Lepisosteus oculatus: one gene and its partner. Each later gene encodes a partner of the first gene's protein in a complex. Links are inferred from orthologs where the notes say so. Each region holds a gene or a part of one and is shown on either strand. Other genes may lie near its edges.

The links.
Region 2: the proteins of kcnma1a (region 1) and calcium-activated potassium channel subunit beta-4 are in contact, whole or in part, in a cryo-EM structure (PDB 6V22), measured with the Homo sapiens proteins. The link is inferred for Lepisosteus oculatus from reciprocal best matches to the Homo sapiens genes KCNMA1 and KCNMB4. Residues at the interface, in NP_001154824.1 of Homo sapiens: Phe98, Phe99, Leu102, Phe103, Leu106, Leu107, Arg109, Thr110, Tyr113, Leu114, Thr116, Val117, Asp238, Leu240, Trp241, Leu244, Pro327, Trp328, Asn330, Gln332, Leu367; in NP_055320.4 of Homo sapiens: Thr11, Glu12, Ala13, Glu14, Lys16, Ser17, Leu20, Leu24, Ile34, Phe35, Cys38, Trp39, His105, Thr164, His165, Val183, Leu186, Ile187, Leu190, Thr191, Ala194, Leu197, Ala198, Lys200, Ala201, Met204.

The regions. Positions count from the first base shown.
Region 1 is NC_090699.1:18,680,299-18,691,810, reverse strand, and holds the start of kcnma1a (calcium-activated potassium channel subunit alpha-1a), read left to right. Parts: upstream 1-6,057; 5' UTR 6,058-6,959; coding exon 6,960-7,250; intron 7,251-11,512. UniProt on the Homo sapiens protein: Potassium channel activated by both membrane depolarization or increase in cytosolic Ca(2+) that mediates export of K(+). It is also activated by the concentration of cytosolic Mg(2+).
Region 2 is NC_090702.1:23,120,184-23,131,630, reverse strand, and holds the start of calcium-activated potassium channel subunit beta-4, read left to right. Parts: upstream 1-6,269; 5' UTR 6,270-6,639; intron 6,640-7,143; 5' UTR 7,144-8,023; coding exon 8,024-8,359; intron 8,360-11,447. UniProt on the Homo sapiens protein: Regulatory subunit of the calcium activated potassium KCNMA1 (maxiK) channel. Modulates the calcium sensitivity and gating kinetics of KCNMA1, thereby contributing to KCNMA1 channel diversity.

The DNA of each region.
Region 1 (11,512 bases):
TCTGTGGTGTTATACAGTGATGTTTGACTAAATGCAAATGGTGTTTTGAGGCTTAGGAATTGTTCAGTACCTTTTCATTAATTAAACCATCAAATACATGTTATAATCTGATTTTTTAAATGTGGATGTGATTGGAATCTTATGAAAAAGGAACCAGACTTAAAGTTAACACTTCACTCCAAAATTGTTCTGAGTGCTTCCAAGATGAATGGGATCCGTGACAGATGATTGCCTGTTCCTAACAAATACAGATGTACGACCTCATTAATCTCTCGATCTTGTCAAGGTGAACAGTCAGTCTAGATCCAAGTCTTCTCATCCTGTAAAAGTTTCAGCTGGAGATGAATCTCTAAAACCTTCATTACAGCTCCTATCAGTGAAGTTACTGTAACCATGGGCCATAGAATAGCCAGGCTGAGCTTCAATAGAATGTGCCTTCTGTTATGGTGCAGGTCCGATCTAAAGTACTGGCCAATGTAGCCTGAAGCTGCAGATTCACACTTCTTCCTGCTGACACTGAAAGGATAGGTGTGTGAAAATGGGTGATCCTGCTTCCAGATAAAGGGAAACCTATTTGCTTTAAAACGGCTAAATCTATTCATTTGAGTAATTTCAACAGTAATATTTCCAGACTGAAAAGGTCTGTGTTTTGCTTCTGTGTTACTAAAATTTATAAAATCTTTTTAGATGAGGGTGCTTCAGGTTCACCTCAAAATTATACAGCATCTACAATATACACAATGCTCACAATCCTTGTTGTGCCTTTGCTGTTTGGTCTTCTGTCACAGTGAGTCGACAAGTGTGAACAATGCATTCTGTCTTAAGTGTGGGTCAGCACAGAAATATGCTTTTAGGAGAGGTAAGCAGGCTAGAGCTGAAGATTTTAAAATGGATACTGTCACAAATTAAAACCAGTATACTCGTGATCAGTGAGTAAAGTGTTAAGTTTATGACAGCCCATCTGGTTGAATTCCTCTATATGGATATTCGGCATATCCACATTGTGTCATTTCACTGTAATGCAATGCCTCCATGAATACATTAATGGTTCAGTCTTAAATGCTGTCCACATGCTACCTACATGAAATAAGATAGGGTATACAATGTGCCTGTTGGTTAAGTGTGTGGCAAATGTGACAAGAGAATTCACTTAATCAAATCTAAGATTTACAATCTAGGTTAATTAGATGAGAACATCAATATAGTGTTTGAGAAACCTGTCACAGGTTGAATGTGCACTGATGAAAAGCAAATTCCTCTAGAAGCGTTCCGATGGGGACACTGCCTTCTTAGGTTCAGATAATTAACCTTACTTGAACCCTCTTTCTTGAGGCTGTCGGCTACAAATTTAATTCATGAGTTTTAGAGAAATTTCTCCCAGGAAATATCTGATACCAGCAAATGTTACAACTTCAAAATATTAATGATTTTCCAAAAATGCTGAAATAGAACAAAGTCTTGACAGAAGATACAGTTCCTTCTCCGTGCACAAGGAAGTAATATCATTTCTGGAGGTGTGTGTTCACCAGTGCTCAGGGCTCTGTGTGCTGTCAGGCTTTCAGATGACCTCTATTCTTCTCCAACACAATGCCAGTATTGTTCTAATACTCACAGATGGGTGTTTTTAAATCTTTTATTGCAATTGGATATACTACAGGAACTAAAGAAAAAAACCCTCCCGCTTTGAACGAGTAACTGGAAATTTCCTCATCCAAAAGGGTTTGTAGCAGGGCCAGAGTCATCAAAAGTATGCACTTTTATATTGTATAGGTGCATATATTATTAAGTGTTGATTGTCAGGGTTCAGAGGATGGTCTGTCAAGGGTTTTGACATGCCAAATAACTGCGTCTTCTACTGAGGGAGAAATTGCCGTTTATTTTTTTAAGGGGTGACATCACTTCAGTAACATGTTCAGTGCCACCAGACCCCATTACACGCAACTACAAACAACATACATGCACTGAACTGTGGTCACACACATCTGTCATGCTCTGGTAATTAGATGCTTTCCAGCTATTTCAGAGTTCATTATCTGATCAGGTCTCAACAGTTCTTGTATGGGAAGGTTTGCGAAGATGAATCATCAAATGAGTTTTCACCTTGTGTTCCACTCACTAGATTGGCGAACTTGTTTCAGTATAGCACCACAATTCCTCTTAAATGTGCTTAAAGAGGATCATGTCTTTGCTGAGGTGTTCGTTTCAGGACAGCTGCTGACAGGCCGTCTTAACTTCTGAACAGATGGGAGTCTGCTGTGAGGGCGGTCTTTGCTGTAAGGTTAGCATTGGAAGCCTTTCGCAGCTTGGCAAAATGCTGTTTCTGTAGCAATAGTTGCTATAGCCTACATTCTTTTTATCTTTACACACTTGCTTAAAGTCCCATGACTTGCTGCAAATGACTATGAGTTATGGTCCAGAAATTAAGCTTTTCATCCTTAGCAATGCCCTGCACTTAACACTGTGGTTGTAAAATAGTTCCTCAGGTTTCACTGACAGCTGCTGTAGTTTTGTTTTCCTAGAAAATCATCATGCATGATCCTGTTGCTACCAGTAACATTGTGGAAGTCTAATCTGAGTGTGCTTGATGTCACTATACCCAGTTTACAACCGGGACATAAAATAATTTAGTGTTGGTTTGTCTTCGTAACCCTGGCTCTCTGGAAAGGAATGCGGTCATCTACACTTGGGAAACACCCCTTCAGTGACGTCATGCCAATGGGACACTGGCATGTCCTTGTGTCATTCTGCCCCTCGGTGTCTAGAAGCCAGATATTCTGACCCAGTCTGTAGCCAGAACCGTAGGCCAGCTGACAGCCTCCCAGAAAGAGTAATGCATCCCATTTCATGCAACTAGCTGAAGTGAAGACCCCGTAGCATTCCTTTCAAGGACTAAATGCTGAGCAGTGGTATGCCCTTACAGTCTTACCCTCAATGTTCCAGTGGCAGGTCTGAGACAAACTCCCTGTCCATCATGCCCAAGCTGCCGCGCTGGCTTCGTCCAAGCAGCAGATCACCGAGCTACCAGCTCCCCGACAACATTCGCCTATGAATGGCCGCCTCTTGTCAGCCCTGTTCCCGTGATTCTTCCTGCTGCTGTGAAAGCCCACCTGCCCCTCCTCGTCACAGCCCCCCAGGAAGTTGCGAATCGGGAACCCTTTCAAGCAAAGGCTGGGAACGTCACCTGCAGAGCCAATACTGCTGGATACCTCTACGGCTGTGCTCCTGTTAATCCTGTTACCACTGTTCTGCTCAATATAATATGTAATGTTTTGGATAGTGGCTTTGTTTCAAGGTGTTTGTCCTTACATTCCACCCAGAACGTTAATGTGTTAAAACCAAAATTATTCAAATCTTTTTTTTTTATTGAATAACGGCAACTACTAACATGAAACGTGTAATACAAGCCATGTTTATCGTTACAAATACATGGTTCTGATTTTCCTCAAATTAAAAAGTACCTTACGTAGGAAAAATAGGAATGAATAAAGACGGATATTAACTTATCAGTATGTCTTTCCTAGTCAATTCTTCCCCTTGTTCTTCTTTTCTGCGAAACAAATGTAGGACGTTCTGCCTCGCCCCTGACGGCCTTGTTTTTCCTGTCAGTTTGCTACACCGATAACATCCACCAGGTGGCGAAAAAAAAGTTTCCATGTGCTCAAACAACTACTGCACCAAGTCGAGTTTTCGCAGCTGCATCTGTCGTCGAATTAGCTCACCACTATGAATAATTAAGGAGAAAAAAGCACCATCGCCTCCCTTTTAAAAAGCTTTTTGTGATCAGACCTTAATTTGCCTCGTTTTTAACGACGACAGCGACAACGCTGCTGCACTCAAATGTTGCTTTTAAAATGCCGCAATAAAATATTTACCGCATGCGGTACTTTTATTTGTGTAACTTCTTTGTATTTAAAACTTTGCTCGTTAAAGCAACGAATAGGCAAAAATCAATTTTTGTAAACACCGCTGATTTAACTACGCATTTCATTCAAAGTAAAGCCTAATTAACTGTCGTAACTTTAAGAATAAACTGTTAGCGTTTTAAATGAGTATTTAAATAGTATAGTATATTAATGTAGTGGACATCGGTGATGTACATAATATCTATATATTTCATCCGGAAGCCATATCTCCTTGCAACTCACAACTGGCAACGCACTGAAGCGCCGCAGGTGTGAGCCTGGCCAGTACTTGGATGGGAGATCTGGGAAACACTAAGGTTGCTGCTGGAAGAGGTATTAGTAAATCCGGTAGAGGGTTCTCACTCTTCGGTCTCTGTGGGTCCTAATGCCCCAATACAGCGACGGGAACACTATACTGTAAAAAGGCGCCATCCTTCGGTTGAAACGTAAACCAAGGTCCTAACTCTCTGTGGTCATTAAAAATCCTGGCGTCCTGTCCTAATTTCCCATTGGCCCTTGCCAATCATGGCCTTCTAATAATCCCCATCTATGAATTGGCTTCATTACTCTGCTCTCTTCCTCACTGATAGCTGATGTGTGGTGAGCGTTCTGGTGCACTATGGCTGCCATCGCATCATCCAGGTGGGGCTGCACATTAGTGGTGGAGAAGGCGAGTTCCCATTACCTATAAAGAACTTTGAGTGGAGTGTCCAGAAAAGTGCTATGGAAGTGTAAGCAATTATCTATTCATACAGCTATATATCTGCCCGTAGCTGTTAAACCAGAATTTAAACTGAGCCCATCATTAAGTCAAAGGGTAGAGATATTAAAACCATCTGTTCACCTAATTTGAAAACCACTTTATTTGGCTTGAGAGATTGATAAGAATTATAAAAAAGTGGAGAAAACCTTTAATTCACACTGCCAGGAGTTTGCATCCTTAAAGATGGCTTTTTTACTCTTGTGCAAGTGGCCTAAAGGTTTCTATAGAGAGCTGGGTCTTTTCTACATAAATCTATAGATAATCTATAAGTTGTTTTAACAGGTTCTATTGAATTTTATAGGTAGTGTATATGTTACCTTAATATGTTCTATAGACCTCTACAGACTGATCTATAGATAACGATACTGTAGGTCATCCGTAGGTTATTAATTACTCCCTGCCTTCTCCCGTCATCCAGAAATACGTTTATAGTATCAACACCAATTTCGGCACAGACTGTGAAACCGGACCTTGCTCAGATAGATACGACATTTTTCTTCACATCTCTGCGACAGACCGGCGTTTGCCGGACTGTCAGATCTGTTATGGTGTAGCTATTACGGTTCACACAAACGCAGCGGGCCCTTGGTGGTACAAAATGGCAGCAGACCTTCCAGGTACTGTAGCGCTAGATTCTTGCATCGCCTAAACGCAGTTCCCCTATTCTAATTTTAATTTAAAAGTGGGTTACTGTGTCCTATCTCTTAACCATCATTTGGTACTGATACCTGTATCTCAGGAGGCTAACAATTGCATAGAAAGGACGGACGCGTATACTGTCTAGCAGATTATCATTTGTCACCAACACTAGGGAAAAATGATCTTTTATGGATATTTATGGGCGATTTGACTATACCATCATCCTTATCAATGACCGGTACACCAAAAAATATATTTTCAAAATTACAATAAGCCTAAGAATATTACAATTATCTTGTGTACAAAAACTTCACCAGTTTCGAAACGAAAACTATTACGGGCACTCAACAGGTTTCCAAGTTTAAGTGCACAAAACCGGCTTCCCTTCCGTGGGTGGAGTGTTGAGTGCTCAGCCAGCGTGGAAGAAAAGGTTACTGAAAAAAACACTTCTGTAAAAACACAGCCCGTCTCCATTTTCACTGGAAATTTTCGGCGACGGAAAATGCGTTATTATGACTATTATAATTTCTTTCTCCCTGGACAGCACCCCAATGAAAGCGCTTATAACCCTGTACCGCTTTCAGCATACAGATAGGACTGCAGACATTTATTGAGAGCTGTAGATTATGTGACAGATACCGCAGCGCCTTTAGAAAGCGGTACAGCTGCTGTATTTTGTATTCCAGTCACTGAGATCTGCCGTAAGGTAAGATTGAAAAACGTTAATATTGAAAATAAATCTCATTACACCGAACCGTTGTCTCGAATGTAGAGGGAATACGAGAACACGGCGTAGCACGTAAAGCCATTTTAATAGTAAAAACCAGAACGCGCCCTTCGCATTGCAAGGACGCAGCGATCTCCAGATAGCAGCAGTGGCTTGCTGGAATAAACATCCCCGGCCGTCTGTCCATCTCTATTATTCGAGCTTGGCTCCGCCTTGATACCTGTAAATCCCCCCTGGCTATCTTTCCAGCAGATCTGACAGCCTGGATCAGCTGGGCGCTGTACGGGCCGAGAGGAAGGTGGTGAATGGGAACGCCAGTATCAACACTAGAGCGGTCTTTGCGGAGGGGGGAAACGCTCTCCAGCCCCAGTTTCTGCAACAGCGAGGAGCGCAGCTACAGACGCGAGAGATCTTCACCCCGTTGAAAACCCCGAAGGCTGTCGACAAGGCAGTGTTTACGCAACCGAAATCGTTTACAGTCAAGCGCTCTGTTGCCTCGATGGAAGAAAGCTAGGTCTCAAGCAAGCCGCTTGAAGTGCTGTTTATAAATATATACTTTGTCTTCAGCACTATACAGAAGCCACAGCAGTCCACAAAAAAACAAGCTGGGCAGCAGCGACGGCTGCGAAATGAAGATTTCTCTGACATGGAATTGCTCCTGAAGGTTTGGAAAATGCCCGACTTGACTTAAAACGAAAACATATAGGCGTCATTAGGGTGAGTTTAAATGCGTTTTGCAGAGGGAAAGAGACTTGATATACGGGCTTTGAAGTGGGGCTCGCCTGTGCGTCACAGGTTTTAGGGGAAATCGATAGGTCTAGAACAAAACAGGGGCAAAAGAAATCCTGAGAAGGGAAGAGGATATCTGAAGCAATATGGCTGGTGAGTGGGGTTGGGGGTGCCGAGAGGAGCTCGCCAAAGCCTCTGGATGCTAGCTATGGCAGATGGCAACGTCTCTGAAGGCATCAGCAGCAGTATGAGTAACAATATCAATAATAATATCAATCCGGACTCGTCCTCGGTGTACATGTCCAAGATGGATGCAGTGATCATCCCTTACTCCGCAGACGTGCCCTGTGATAGCAATGGGCAGCGCATGTGGTGGGCTTTTCTCGCCTCCTCCATGGTGACTTTCTTCGGGGGTCTCTTCATCATCCTTCTCTGGAGGACTCTCAAGTACCTGTGGACTGTGTGCTGTCACTGCAACATCAAACACAAGGTAACTCGCGCGGTCATTTTGAAGGTGTATTCCCCATGTTCCTTTTTGGGAGGAGGTGGGGTGGGGAGTGGGGGGTGGTGGGGGTCGTCAATCTACAGTATGTAACAAACGCAAATTATTCAACTTCTTCAACCTTCCGTAAATACTGCCACCTCCATCTCTGGGGACAAATGATGGAGACATTGATATTGCGTTCTGGTGTCATTTTATTTTAAATATAGTTGTTCGGAAGCCCGACTCTGGAAACGCAGGAAATGTTGTTTTTCCTCGTATACCCCTCTTACAAAAAACAGGCAGCTTTATTCCCTCTTTAAACAAGCGGTGTGTGTGTTTGCTCCTGGAAATAAAAGGTTTGGAATCCTGGATGATAAAGGAGGCCTTCCTCTTTTGACTGGAAAATTGATAAAAACCAGTGATTTCTAAGAGTAATAGCCACACACGTTGATTCACGATCTTTTATTGTGGAGTAAAACAATAATAAACATATAACAATATTACAAATCTGAAATTAGCTTAATGTTTTTCATACCTAGAGATTTCTTTTCCTACCATTGTGTTTTTGGGCTGTCACAACTGGGAAATTTGTTTTTTACACTAAATGTGGGATAGCTCCTTTGTCAGTTCAATTAAATGTTTTATTTGTTGCAAAATCTTAAAAACGCCTTTCATACTTTTACTCTTTCGCCAGACTTTAGTCTTAAAATATGACAAGAATCCTGCATTGCATTAGCCTGTGAATATGTAAGTTAATGGGAAAGAGTGACCCTGCAGCTGTCTGTTTTTTTAATTAATATTTTTCCTGCCCCCTTTATTTGGAAATTATCCATATATAACTTGTATATCAATGGTCGATTTCTTTTTGTTGAGATGGTTTCAGCGCCTGAAGGAATCACATGGATATGCTTTAAAGTAGCCTTGTGCGAAATTTCCTCATAGTGTATGTTTTGAGTTTAACCTTCAGAATGATATATTGAATTCTGTGGGCAAAACCACTTTGTCAGAATTATATCACAGTATGACAGGTATGGATTAGAAAAGAAAACCTACAGTATGTAAACTATGTATGTTAACTGATATTTCATGTCACCAGAACTTTGCCCAGCCATCATAATATGTTAAGCTAACACTTGCTCAGTCTTGCACAAATAATCTTCTCTGTTTGTACAGTGTGGTGCTAGCAGTGCATTATGACACAAGTAAGATAAGGCATTTTCTGTATATAGTCAATTTTTAACCCATATTCCTGAAATTATTAACGTGGCACTTTAGATTCCAAAGAATTCGTTTTCTAAAAGCATTGCTTTGTTTTTGAATGTAGTTCACCAAATATCACAGAAATAATATTTATATTGCAAAAAAAAATATTTCTTGGAACCAAAGCAATTTGAGTGAATGGCAGTTTGCGTGTTTATTTCATAGACTGTGTATTGAACAGAAACCCATGCTTGTTTTTAAAATTGAATTCCATTTTATCACACAATGCCTTTTATTGAAGTGCAGATTTAAGGGATTTTCTATTAAAGTTTATATGAAGCAACATAAGGGAATTTATGTAAGATGTGCATTTAGGCACACAGCACTTCTAAGACCTAAATTTTAAAATTCTCCTGCAAATAAACGCTAAGAGGAAAAGCTTCTCTGTTTTATGAGGGTGGTGGGAGAGGTGTGTTAATATGTCTCTCACCGAAGCCCTTGGAGGCTAAGGTACAAATGTTTAGTCTCCATTCCTCATTACCTTTTAATGACCTGGATGGGCAAGCTGCATATTAAAAGACGGAATCCTACTGAAACTCACACCTACAGGTTGTAACAGAAGAGGTTAAGCGGGGAAGACAGAAAGAGGCCTGCACATTTAGCTTTAGTTTTTTTAAACGAGAATCGAGGCCGCTTTGATTTACAGAAAATCGCCTTTTGAAAAATAGACAGGGACAACATATTTTGAAGAGACAAGAGCTAAAAGTAACACAACAGCGGCAGCATCTGTACAAATGATCTGACATGGGATCTGATTATGATCTTTTTATGTGGTATCTTTTGCTAAGAATATCGGAAAAGATAACAAGCCTCCAGTTTTGTAGGCTGTTTATAAATACGTGGCAGCATTTTGCTACCACTGTTACCCATCTGTAAAGTCTGTCTGGGAGGAGGTGTGTCTAGAGTAGCTTGTGTCTAGCAGAAGGGTTTGTGTGGCTCGTTGTTGAAATAGAAGAAACGGACCAGGGGCCAACTTTCTCCAAACCCCGCCTAGTGGGGCAGCAGTTGTCAAGGATCTGCACCTCAAACTGAAAGGTTATGTGTTCAAATCCCAGGTGAGACACAGCTGCATTACAACGTATTTCAGTTGTATTACGTCCTGACTGTTCCTGTGAAGCTCCCATCTGTGTAAATGCACGCAGATATATGTGGCTTCAAATAAAGGTTTCAGTCCAAAAAAATTAGTCGTTGGCCTAACCTTCCTTCTCCACTCAAGGAGTCTTCTCTGTGTGTGACCTTGGGGTGCTGATTCCTTGTCCTTCCAAGCAGGGATGTTTTAATACATGGATGACTGATTGCAAGACCTCTTTTTCACTGAAGCAGCATGCATTCTTTCAGATTGAGGGGTGGCCAGTCAATGCTCTAACAACGTTGTCAGGGATGGACCATAATAAGAGTAACCCCTGTTGGAGATAAGCAGTGGTGATCCTAGGTCTGACCTCTCTACTGGAATGCAGTAAGGACGATGTCATCTTTGGCCTTTTAATAGCTGTTTTACTTTTTGAATAGTACTGGTCATCTTTCCTGGCCACAGCTTGCATTAGTTTAGTTATTCACTCAATTTGTTGAGGGCATGTGCCATTGATTTTTGAAAGATTCATACAGCAGTGGCTCTTGGTGTGATGAAAGCAGCTCTCCCTGCCTCTGCTGAGATTCTATCCCTGTCATTCTCAGGCTCCAAGCACACACAGTGCCACTCCATGGACAGTGGATAAGTCCACTAGCCCAAAAAACGACTGCGAGTTTTACACTGTCTAGATTTCAGAGAGGGGTGACATCACTTCTATAACTGGCTTGGTACACTGAGCCCTATTACACTTGCATGTACTGTACAAAGACGTAATTTGCATAGAAATCAGATAACTTTCAGAGATTGTAGCAACTTAAATGTTCTATAATGTATCGTTTTAAGGTTGAAAAGGTGCAGAGGCAAGCAGCGCAATGTCTGATGAGGATGATAGTCACATATAATCACAAACGTTTGTTTTAATTAATATTTCACAGTAGTTTAGTTTGTTACTTGACCATATCAGTCTCATAATCTCACTGTAAAGGCTGTGATGCCTGTTTCTAAAGGCTGGGCAGTGATCCCTTTCCTGCTGTGTGTTTATCATTTTCTTTGTGCTGTCTCACAGTTGTGTGACGTCTGTACAATGCTGGTAATCAAAATAATGAATTTGATGTGCTAGCATTGGTATTACTGTTCAAGTCATGAATCGTACCTACAGTGGATGTGGTCAGCAATTTGATGAGATGGATCCCGAAAGAGTGCAAAATCCTTCTTTGTTGAGTCCACAGCCCTTGGTGTTGAGAGCTGACATTGGTACTGTTTCTGTTGTACCTCAGGGACTGAGGAACAGGGAGTTCCAACTCTACAGAGGCCAATGGATAACAAAGTATTAGATAGCTTTTAAAATGTGATTGTAGGTAGCCTTGTGGCAGAAACTGTTAATTAGCAAAGTGTCTGTATGTCACAGAATGTTTCGTTTTAATCATGACCTCTTTAGACATCATAATGTTTGTTAAAAAGTGATTACTGCAGATTACTGCGAGAGACGGTTGTGGTAAATTCCAGCACATATGCAGACTAAACTTTTCTGTTGGGGCTGGCTCTGATTCTAGATTTCAAGTGAAAAACTAGCTTTTCGAGGTAAAACGTGCCTCTAGTTTTACTCACCGAGAACATCGGCTGAAAGGAAATAGTTGTGCAATAAATTTGAAAAAATGTGTACACTGCTAACAAGAATTTATCCAAGCAGCTGGTTCCTGGGTTTGAAGAGGGAGAGTACGGCTTTGTCGTAAAGGGCTTGCATCTCTGTGATTTGCAGCATTGAAAGTGTTTTCAGTGCTTATTGCCCTTCCCTGGTGATTTTACCGAGCGCTCAGAAAAGTCCTATAACAATTTAATTTAAACCGATAATCAAAGTGTTTACTAGCATTTCCATTTTCTTTTTAAGACAAACGAAGCAATGCAAAAAATGTGACGACGTTGATCGGAATCTTGCCTT
Region 2 (11,447 bases), on another chromosome or scaffold:
ACAACTGAAGTGTCTTAACGATACCATAAAGGGTTAAAATACTGCCCTAGACTTCACCAAGTTATTTAAATAGTAAATTGTGAAAGATCTGGTTTGGTTTCAATTACTATAGTGATTTTTTTATAAACAATAGTGTAAACGGTTGAGAAGAAGAACCGCCTCCATTAATTAGAAACAAATGAGTGCTAAAGAAAGTATTGTAGCAACAATTTGGGGCATAATGTTTCTAAAGTGTAAATTGTTTGAACTTTTAGGCCTGAAAAGCACCAGTTATCTGATTGAAGAGGTTGTAAAGCAGCTAAAAAAATGCTGGTGTCATTCAATTATCTTTAATAAACTGTCTACCACCAAGTTTGTATCCAGATTCAACCTAAAATACAGTGCTGGTTATTCCATTGTGTAATTTAATCAACCACAGAATTCTTCATATTCATGCATTTCTGATTCCCGTAGAAAGTGAATGAGCTGTGCTGCTTTTCACACGGTATCGCTGTCAGTTTATATCCAAATCAGAGTCAACTTTATTGCCAAACCAGCCCTTTGAGATGTTAGGAATTTTTTGTGGTGTGCTTGACCAAAGCAAAGATACAAGAAAAGAATGAAAAATCGTTAACTTATCCAGCATACTACCGAGTGCTACATTACAGTGAAGACAGAATACACACATTTACCAATAAATACAATATTAAATACTTTTATAATTGTGTTGACTCTTCCAGAACCGCTCTGTTCTCTGATCTGATTTGATCTTTGCCTTCTTCCAGAGGGAAGGAGCTGAAAGAGGGTAAAGGGTGGGTGAGATTGGTCGCTCATACTGTCATTTTCAGAGGTCTTAGATTTAAACGTGTTGCGTATATAGAAGTAGCCGATGATAAGTGACTGCCATCACTGCTCATTCACGAAGCACTGTGCTCCATTCTATCCAGCTGTTTTCCTTCCTAAGTGACTACGTTCCCCTTACCAGACTGTCACAAAAAACATTAACGCACTCTCAGTTGTCCTGTGAAAATAGACCATGGCTTCCCGAGACACAACCAACTTTCTGAGCTGCCTGACAAAATAGTCTCTTATGGGCTTTCTTCACTAAGTGGTGTGCACTAGCCTCCCATTTCAAGATGGGGGAGGTTGTTGTGCCAAGAAGCATAAAGATATCTATCTTCTCCACCATATGACTGTCTAACACAAGAAGTTGTACTTCATTCCTGTCACGGCTGAAATCATAGATTACCTTTTTTGGTTTTACCAACATTGGGCCAGAGATTGTTTAGACTGCACCAGCTCACTAAAGCAAAAATAAGGAATATTTATTGAGAGAAAATAAAATTAGACTGCAGGCTGCTGATTTCTTTGTCTCAGAAGGAGAGTTAACTGCTTACAGTACTTGGTAAATGTAACAGCCTTAAATGTACTTTGATTGGCTTACAGGCATAAATCTTCTCTTGACCAAAGGTGTTTGGATTTAAAAGTGCTAGCAGGCAAATTGCTTTGTGTAGCAGAACTAATGTCAAAGGGCACTTATGGTATTAATCATGTACATAACATTGTTTAAGGTTTAAATTTTTGCTTTCTATTTTTTAAAGGCAGCAATGGTAACCACTGCACCACCTGTGAGCATTCATTAATGGAATAATAATAATTGCCAAATGATCTTGAAACATGATTTCTTCCTTAAAGTGATTTAAATTGTAGCGAGTATACTGTAAATCCATAAATTCTAGCCTTAAATGGAAATTAAATCAAGACCACTTTTGTTTGAGAGAAAAGAAATGTATTTTGAAATGGTACATGACAAAACCATGTGCTGTACTACACAAATTCTGAAATTCCATCTATGCATATTTGCTCTTGGGTCAAGTGCACAGGAAACCATTGCTTGATGTCATAGAGTCAGGATAAGTAACACCTGGAAGCTCCTGCTCTAGCAGGGCGAAGGTAAAGGAGGTGGAAAGTGAAAAAAGAGACCAGCTGGGAGTAGGCTGTTTTCTGTACTTGATTAATGTACAGTAGGTGTCCTTTTAAAATATTAGATTTCCAGACACCACTATGTTAGGGAGAAAATGCCGTCTCTTTTTATTTGCAAAGAAACTTTTTAATGCATACATGTAGCATGATATATTAAATAAATCCACTATAAATGTTTTTGCTGAAAAAATGTTACTTCTGTGAAATTGGATATTCAACCTTTCATTACTGACTAACCCCAGCAGAGGGCGATCTGTAATCACTTAAAGCACCCGACTGAGGTCGAGTTGATTCTTATCCTAGTGTTTTATGCACTGATACCGTGGATCAGTACAACACCCACAATACTTATCTAAAGGGATAAAACAAACATAGCAGATGGTGTTAGTTGACCTTTTTCTGCTTCTTTGTCAGGAAAATTCAACATTTTAACCTTGAGCTTCACTGGAGGGAAGAAACTGATTTGAAATAGGCTTTCATACAATAGCTTCAGGAAATCTAACTTCATGGTAGCTGTGTTCTGTCTTTGGAAAGTAAAGTATTTGTCGCCACCAATCAGTAGGGAGAAAAAGTATATGTTTACTCTGATCAGGTTGGCAGAGGATAATTAACAATTCTTTTTTAAGATTAACATCTGTGTGCATTTAGCAGTCTAAATGAGCTATAAACCAAAATAGAATAACTAATGTAGGAACTTAAAGTTTGCACTAAACCCTAAACATTCAGGACACATTTATTACTGTATCACTTCAGTCATGTATTTCACTAGCACATTTTTTCCCAATAAGGTAGAGAAATAATGCGGAGGTACGTTTATTGTCTTCCCCAAAAGACAGAAATGGATTTAAACATCTTTTTGCACGTTCTGAATAACAATTTAAGCCCATTAAAATCAACTGATTTCAAATAAGGTTGCTAAATAATGCAGTATTTGCGAAGGTGTAATTTTTGGGTTCTTCTCTGGGAGTCTGCTCTTCAGTAACAGGCGATGAATGATTGCTGACGGGCACTCCTGTCCCATCACAGATATTGCTGCTTTTAATGGAGCTTAACACTCTCTTCAGTGTACTTCCCTGGATACCTAAACATGATTCTGTTACTGATGCATTTTATTGCATTTCTTGTGCAAGTTATCTAAGAGCTGACGTGTTGCACCGACCTGCATCACCGTCTCTGGGCTTCTTGGAGGTTGCAAGACATCAGATTTAATCAACAATTTCTTATTAAGTATAGCACCTCTGGAAATCTGCTATCTCTAATCAGTTCTAAAGTCTCTCATTATACACGGTGTGAGAGATTTTATCCCCTTCTCTAATTCACAAATGAATGCCTGCACTCCAAACTGCCCCTGTGTACTGTCCAACGCCTTTATGTTTATTTCACGAACAGTGGTTCTGTTTTTAATATTTAATGTACATCTCATTAGTGAATGATTGATAATGCCATGGCATTGAACAGCCCTATGGGGCTCAACAGTCAGGAGGTCTACCAGCGACAGGACAACAGGGAAGAAACAGAAACGACTCGTCAATTATTACCGCTCTACAGTGGCTCTACTGTGAAATATTTACTTAATTGGATGAGTATTCTAGGTTAAAAAAACATTGAATCCTTTTAACATTTTGCCCCGAGGTGCAGTAAAGCAGCAGGCCCTAGTGTTAAAAAACACTACCGATTAATTATAGAAAACATCAAACCTTCAAACCTGTTCCATTGCACTTCCTTTGTAGTCCAGTAATCCGTCACTCCAATACAGAGTCACGGAGGAGCCAGAGCCCATCCTGGAAAGCTACTTCCATAATGTATTCAGAAGTTCAATGTGTATTGTGTTCTTCTTGCTTTATTTTTTTCTGTTGTTTGTGTTGAAAAACTGTGGACTAGAGTAATTACTACCAATTAATTTAATTACTGCCAATTAATTACTACCACTTAGGAGTTCAGAAAAAAGGAATGACAACTATAGTTCTAACAGATTTCTGAGTGCCAAAGGCAGAGTATTCCTGTCAAATTCCAATATTATTCCAAAATACCTCTATAATATTAAAATCCTAGATAATCTGTGACTATCAAGAAACCCGGCTCTTAAACACTTAAGGGTTTTGATCCACACAAGTGATTATTAAGTAATGCTACATTAACATATTAGATGAAATACTGTATAGTTGTCTTGCCAAATTTGTTTAATTAAAACAATGTAATTTTCACTTCTGTAACGCTTAAAACATATGCTGCAAGTGGCTTACTGTATATTTAACAGTTTACACAGAAGGACAAATATTTTTGTTGAAGTAAAGGTATTCATTCCTTTTTAGCATTTGGCTCCTATTTTGTTATATTTGGAATTGAGTGTGTGTATGTGACTCCTCTGAATTGCCTAACTTTGAGCCGCTTGTCTTTTGTCACTGTATATGTGGCCCCAGACAGGGGGTTTGTTGCCAATTGGAGAAGAGGAGGCTCCATCACCATGACCACACTGCAGGTTTGAACGTTCCCAGTAAGTCACTTACTAGAGAGCCCCAGTCCTACATATGACCATCAATTAAGGCTACAGGATGTGGATGTGACCCAAGAATATCTAAGCATATCTTCCAGATTTCTCTCTATCGTTCTGCAAAAGGCTAGAATCTTTAAGGTACACAGTTAATCAGAAAGTAGCCAGGCATTGTATGGGTATTTGAAGTCAAGACTGATCTTGAGAGAATTGAAGGTAACACTATTCCAGTTTGCAGCAGGATGATTTTGGAGATAATAAGGATAGTTAGCAAGACCTGTATTGTTAAATCAATTGTGAAACGTTTGTCTGATGTTAAAGGACGCAAGAAAAAGTTTCTTTTGTAACTTGCAGCTCCACTCCACGTACGGATATTTATTAAATCTGTTGCCCTTTTTTAAAATTAGATATTTAATCTTTTTAACTTCATGTGCATTATGATAAGGAACCCCTTGGCCAGCTTTAAAATGGCTGACAGGTATATAAAGATAACAGCACTAAACAGTTCAAGAACAGCACTGAAGCGTGCCTCTGTTAAATTGAAAGTCTGCTTAAATGAATTAAAGAAATTGCTATAAGCTCATTGCAATGTGTTCTAGCAACAGGCAACAGACTAGTCTTGCAGGGAATTCAAAATAAGGTGGCAGAGAAATAGGCAGCTAATCAAAATGCATCAGTTTTTCATGTACTGTATGCATTTGGAACTGAAAACATAAACTGGTCTAATATTTGAAAGTCATGCAAAAAGATCTTCGGAGTGCAAAAAGTCATACTGCTAGCGCGTATGTGCTGTTTTTTATTAAGAGCAATACAACACTGCTAAGACGTATTCATGGTTATTGACAAATCCTATAATCAATTTCTTATGGCACAGTGATAAGAAATTGATTATAGGATTTGTCAGTAACCATGAATATTCATGTATCCCATCATACTCCAGGTTGCCATGACCCCTACCAGGTGTAAGTACTTTCTGATAACAGATGGATGGATATCCCATCAGATTTGTAAATTTCTACCAGTGATTTGGGTTGTGAAGTGTTGGAGGAGGCAAGCAAATTTTCATTGTCATCTGTTTCCAAAGAAAGTTATGATTACATCTGAGCTTTCATTCAACAATACCGACACCAAGCCTTGGTTAATAAAGCAAAAAGTCTTTAAACGAAGCACAGATGTAGCCCTTTTAAACCTGATTGTTATTACCGAGTGCTATTCAGCATTTGTTCTCTTGTGGTCTAACAGGTTTTGAAACACTGTTATTTATGGAGGCAGGTGTTTCTACTCAAAACGTAAAACATTACTCTGTCACATTTACCTCCTACCCCATGACCTGCTGGTCTGTCTGCTTCAGTCTCTGAGATCTCCTTTTCCTTAGTGACAGTCAACTACGCTGTCCACTCGGTGCTGTTGAGGACTGGCCTCTCGCATGAAGTGATAAATTAGTTTTCTTCCATTGGGATTCATTGTTCTTTTTTTAAATGTAGAAGTAGTATCAGAGCGATACTCAGGTTGGAAACTTGCTTGCAACAGTTATATCCACCCTTCCCAGTATCTGAGTTGGAAAAAGCACAGTCACTACGTTTCATGACTCTGCAGAGCCCTTGACAACTCAGTGAGAAAATTATTACAATTAAGCAGATCAACACAACCCGTTTTTCATTTTTACTTAAGGTTCAGCACCACCCATTAATTGATTGGATCAGTTTGCTTACCACCTTTTCAGCACCACCCATTAATTGATTGGATCAGTTTGCTTACCACCTTTTACATTAAGCACAGTTAATGTGCTCGCTTTTGGTCTGTGTAGTTGATCCAGTAAAAATGGATGGATATTGGAGCAGATGATAATACAGTATGATGTGCATACACACAAGATTAAATAAACATAATTAATAATAAGCACTTTAGACACTAAATTGCTGCTCTTCAGTTGGCTTTAATTAGGAAACATTCTTAATTCGTGGTTATCCAGTTCTTTCATAAAGCAAAATGATAAAACCGAATATTAACGAGAACGAACTCCGAAACTGCCGTGCTCACATACAGACGTTCAAGCTGTTGTTTTTTTTTCTTTCTCCTGTCGTGTTAGCAAGCACATCGGTTCCTTTCTGAAAACTAGGGCACCAGTTAGAAGTCTGTCCGAAGCTGCAATGAACTCGAATCCTGGAAGGAATAAAGTCGTTAAGGTAAGTGAGGACTTGCACGCAAACCGGTAGAGATACCGACGTGAAAAACGTCCAGGAAAGAGCTGATGTGAGTCCTGCATCTTTTAAAACACGTGTTTTTCGCAGACCACCGTAATCAACATAGCATCTGTTGAGCAATTTAAATATATACGGAATTATTTATTTTGCATCTGTAAACTGAAGGCTTTACGTTTTTGTAGGCCCAGAATTATGGTGTTTTATCGTGTGCGGTGCAGAAAGATTACCCTAAGCTTTATAAAGCCGTAGATCCACTTATGTAAACAATAGGGATAACCATTGGAAATACGAAAATATAAAAACATTATTATGAAAAGCGTGAGTTGCCGTTCCTAAACATTATACATTTAAAAAGACTACAGATAAGATTAAATAATTCAATATATTACATCGTTTAATCAATAATACTGTACTTGTGCCTTCACATCCTTTGGACAAACATACACGATATGTTAATGACTTATTTTTAATTTTTTTCAATTGCAGGTAGGGACGGGAAAAGACTTTATAACTAATATGGCAATACAGATCAATTTTAACTGGATTATATAGAATGTTTTTACGGGAATTAAAAGGCAATGAGCAAGGCTGGTGTCAAAACTCGTATCTCAGAAACGTTTTGCTCTTTATCCGAATACAGCAGCGTCTCCTTTAAACGAGCTGACACTATTTGCACAGGTGACAACGTTGACACTGCTTGAGAAACAATTTGTTGGCGAGATGCCGCTTTAAAAATTGTCAACGGTGCTGAGCGAGAGATGTCTACTGTTGCGGTTCCAGCGGCGCTCGGAAATGCGTTCAACTCATTGTATCATTTCAGACATATGAATATCTCAGTCATCGCGATATTGGGAGTTGCCGACTTCTGTTGCTTCAAGGTTTTGAAGTTTGAAGTTAGGAGTGTTAGTTTTTTCAGCACACGTAGGTCCTAGTTGGGACCAGAATACTATTTCTACAGCACCAGGCAGACGGCGGTGATGGACAGACTGCTGCTCACCAACATCTGATCGCCAGTCTAGAGCCGTATTTACTCAGAACTCTGTGCTAGTTCTACATAAGAAGCTTATCTAATCCCAGATGTAGCTTTCAGCCTTTCAGCAAAGTCCAAATGTGAGTGGACTGCCGAGATCGAAATCAGAAAGCACGCTCGGGAAAGGAGGGCTGCAAAGAAGCGTTTTGCCAAGTTACAGTTGCAGTGGTATAGGGGTGTCATAAATCAAAAGCGATCGCGGAGTTCGCCTGCGAAAGAAGTTTCACCAGCTACTTCTTCACGGTCCTAGATATTGGCACAGGTGGAGAAAGACTTGCCTTCTTCACTAGATATAAATTGGTTTAATGCTCGTGATCACCGCGCTGCCGAGGACTGATGGCGAAGATCAGAGTGTCTTATGAGTACTCGGAGGCGGAAGATAAAAGCATCAGACTCGGGCTCTTTCTGATTATCTGTGGCATCGTGTCCCTCTTCATTCTGGGGTTCTGCTGGCTGAATCCCACCATTCAGAATATGCAGTGCAAGGCGGCGAACTGCACCGTGATCTCTGTGCAGCAGAACGGGGAAATGTTCGAGTGCACTTTCACGTGCGGGACGGATTGTAAAGGCACCTCGCTGTACCCCTGTCTCCAGATCTTCGTGAATAACTCAGAGTCCAACTCCACCGCTTTGCTGCATTACGACGAACAGCAACTTGTAATGAACCCAAAGGTAAGTCTAGATTGTAGACCCAGTGCCATCGAGGTGTGAACGCTACACATGCCTGCGTGCACAAGCACACACAACACTAAACCTTGTTTTTGTCACTTTGAGCTGTCTTTTATTAATATAATTCTGCCTGTTGCAATATAAAAAAAACATCAGATTGCTCATCTTTCGGACAACGATATTTCTCACGTCACAGATGGAGTGTAGAGCTTGATTACTGTTGCTAGCGGTTTACTAAGGACATACTGTTTCGGCATTATTTTGTTGTTGATGTTTTAGAACAAACAGCAGATGGCTTTGCAGCTCAATGGTGCCTATTTGCAGACAGTAGGGCGAAATAACGTGAGACCAGCTCAAGAATGAGTTGAATTCATTTTCCATTTGCACCAGTGGTATTGTAATGATATATACTGTCAATTGTTTCTCTTATGTAGTGAAGCATTTTCTTTGGGTCGAGTTCAACACACGAGAGGCATATACACTTTTTTCATTGTTTTTGCCTTGACACAGTGCTGAGAGGACTTTTTGGAACTAATGTAGACCTACTAGGTGTGTACAATGTTTGATTAATTCTGTGGCTTAAAACGTCTTGTTCTTGTAGCCACATACTCTTGAAGCAGACAGAGAATACAGCTGTGTGAATTAAGCCAGTGTTTGCTTCAAGAGTTCTATAAAGAAAATGCATTTGCCTGTTATTGTGAATGATGTCAGTATCAACTACATTTTCTCAACGGAATTGTAAAACTGGTGAGAAAAAAATCAGTCAACGCCATCAGGACTGTATAGAGAATATTCATTGAGGTCTAAAACTCCCTTCTGAAATTATTATATACATGCAATCTTGAGGGTGTGTCACACAGACTTAAAAATACTTAAATCATTTAAAATTTCAAAATATAATTGAATTATGCTGTTGTCTTTCTTGCAAAAGAATACGTTTAATTATATTAGTAGAGCAGCTGTAGGGGTGGCAGTAACTATTGCAGTCCAAATGGAAGCAAACCTTTAATGTAAATTATAAATAATAAGCGTGAAACACCACCCGTTGCTTCCTTAAGGTTATAATCATTATCAACTAAGAAAAAAGCCTCAGACTAGTAGTCTTTGACCATATCAATACTCATGTTTCTTTGCCACAAGAAATATTTTTTTTATAGCTGAAGACAAGCATTATTGTGTATGACTTATCTTTAACATGGAAGCCTTTTGAAATATTAAAAGAAGATGTTTTATAATGTAATAGAAATGAACAGGTGTCTGTCTGCTTGTGTATAAAATGAATGATAGAGTATGTACTGTATAAATGGATTAAATGATGTATTACAACACAACTCTTTGGAAGTACAGCGGTATAAAGCCTGGAAATTTAAATTGTGCTGTGAGAACGATAGATTTGGATATTACTGCAATCATAGCATATGATTGAGACTTGTGTACCACACTACACAGGAGTATTGTTTGGCACCAGTGAGAGCTGTTGTGTGGTGTTCTGTTTCATGCTTGGGGAAGAATCACAGACATTTTCCTCTGTCATGTCTGTTGGTTATTGGGGATGGGTTTAGAAATAATACATCTTTCATGACAAAATTAAAGGTGCATAGTAGGAGGCCACCATTCTTCTTTGCCACCACTTAAATATAAGAACCTTCCATACACAGCAAGTTCAGTAGATTTGTTTATGTGTAGTGTAAAAGGACATTGGGTATCCTGAAGACCCTACTAGCCTCATACCTGCCAACACACAGCTGAGAAACATGCAAGTTAGATTTTATTGTTGCTCAGTGGCAGATTAGTATAGGAGCCACTTTCTTTGATAATATGCTAGAACAATGAAATAAATAGTGGACTGTAATTTTCATAATGAAAACAAAGCTGGAATTAAATAATTTGTGGATGGGAATCCTAGATTAACAGAAGCTAGTTTCCAGAAATTGAAATGCATTCAATGTCATAAAAAGGCACTTGAGCTGATGGCCTTTGTTAAGGGTAGTTTTAATTACGGAGTTATTTGAGTTGAGGGTGTGCTTTGAAAAGGTTAACGTGAAGGATCATCATTTTTCCCTTAAAAACTGTTGTATAATCAATTTTTGTGTCTGCTTGCTTAACTGCTGACAGACCTCTAATGTGATTCCCCAGTATGGAGATGCATTGAAAAGCTATTGAAAATGTGCCAAATGCTCATTATGGTTATATCACTTAGAAATTAATTTCTAAAGGAAAACAGGAGTCATTGCCACAGTTGACAGTTATTCACTTCTGATAATTACTTGCGGTAGCAGTTCACTGGCAAGCTCCAGGGCGCGAGGGTTATCAGTTGATCCTGACGTTAAAGCAAGGCGTTGGCTCATCTGAAAGGTCTGACTGTCACAGAGAGCCGCGCGGCTCTGCGCTGCGGAGTTGTGCAGGGAGCACTGATCTATTGCCATTGTCATTTACAGGAGATTAAACTCCAGGACTGGGGTTAGAATTCAGTGTCTGGATACCAGCAGGTCCACTGGAAAGGTCACAGCTCTTTTCTTGAAGCAGTGTTATTTCTGCAGGCTCTTGGAGTTCAGGAGCAGTTGTTTATGCAGTAAGTGGCAAGAAAAAGGAGTAATTTCCATTGATTTTAGCTGTCTCTCAAAAATGCAACAGGAATAATTAAATTATTATTCATGTTTAATACTACAGCATACAAGGCAGAGTTACCCTATTGGGTCATTAAGGGTCAGGCTCTATGAATTGCCTGTACTGCTTAAGGGATTATAAGGATTTCGAACTAAACACAGTTATTTAAAAGGACCAATGTTAGTATGAAAGTTTGCAGTAAAATTATTTTCTGAATGGCTTAAATGTCAGATAAGGACATTAATGCCTTTGGCTGCAATCATCTAATTATTTTTATGGCATTTTTTCATTTGCAATGCAGTGAGTATTGATAACAGAAGGCATCTTTATTTTGAACTTCTTAAGAAAAGAGTGACCTTTTGAAAGGCCAGGTAATCAAAGAACAAGCTTCTGTGAGCCACGTTGCTAGTAGTTTTATTAGGCATCTGTAGTAATGAGTCATATTGGAAATTTAAGCATCACGTGCCCATGCCATGATCTGAAG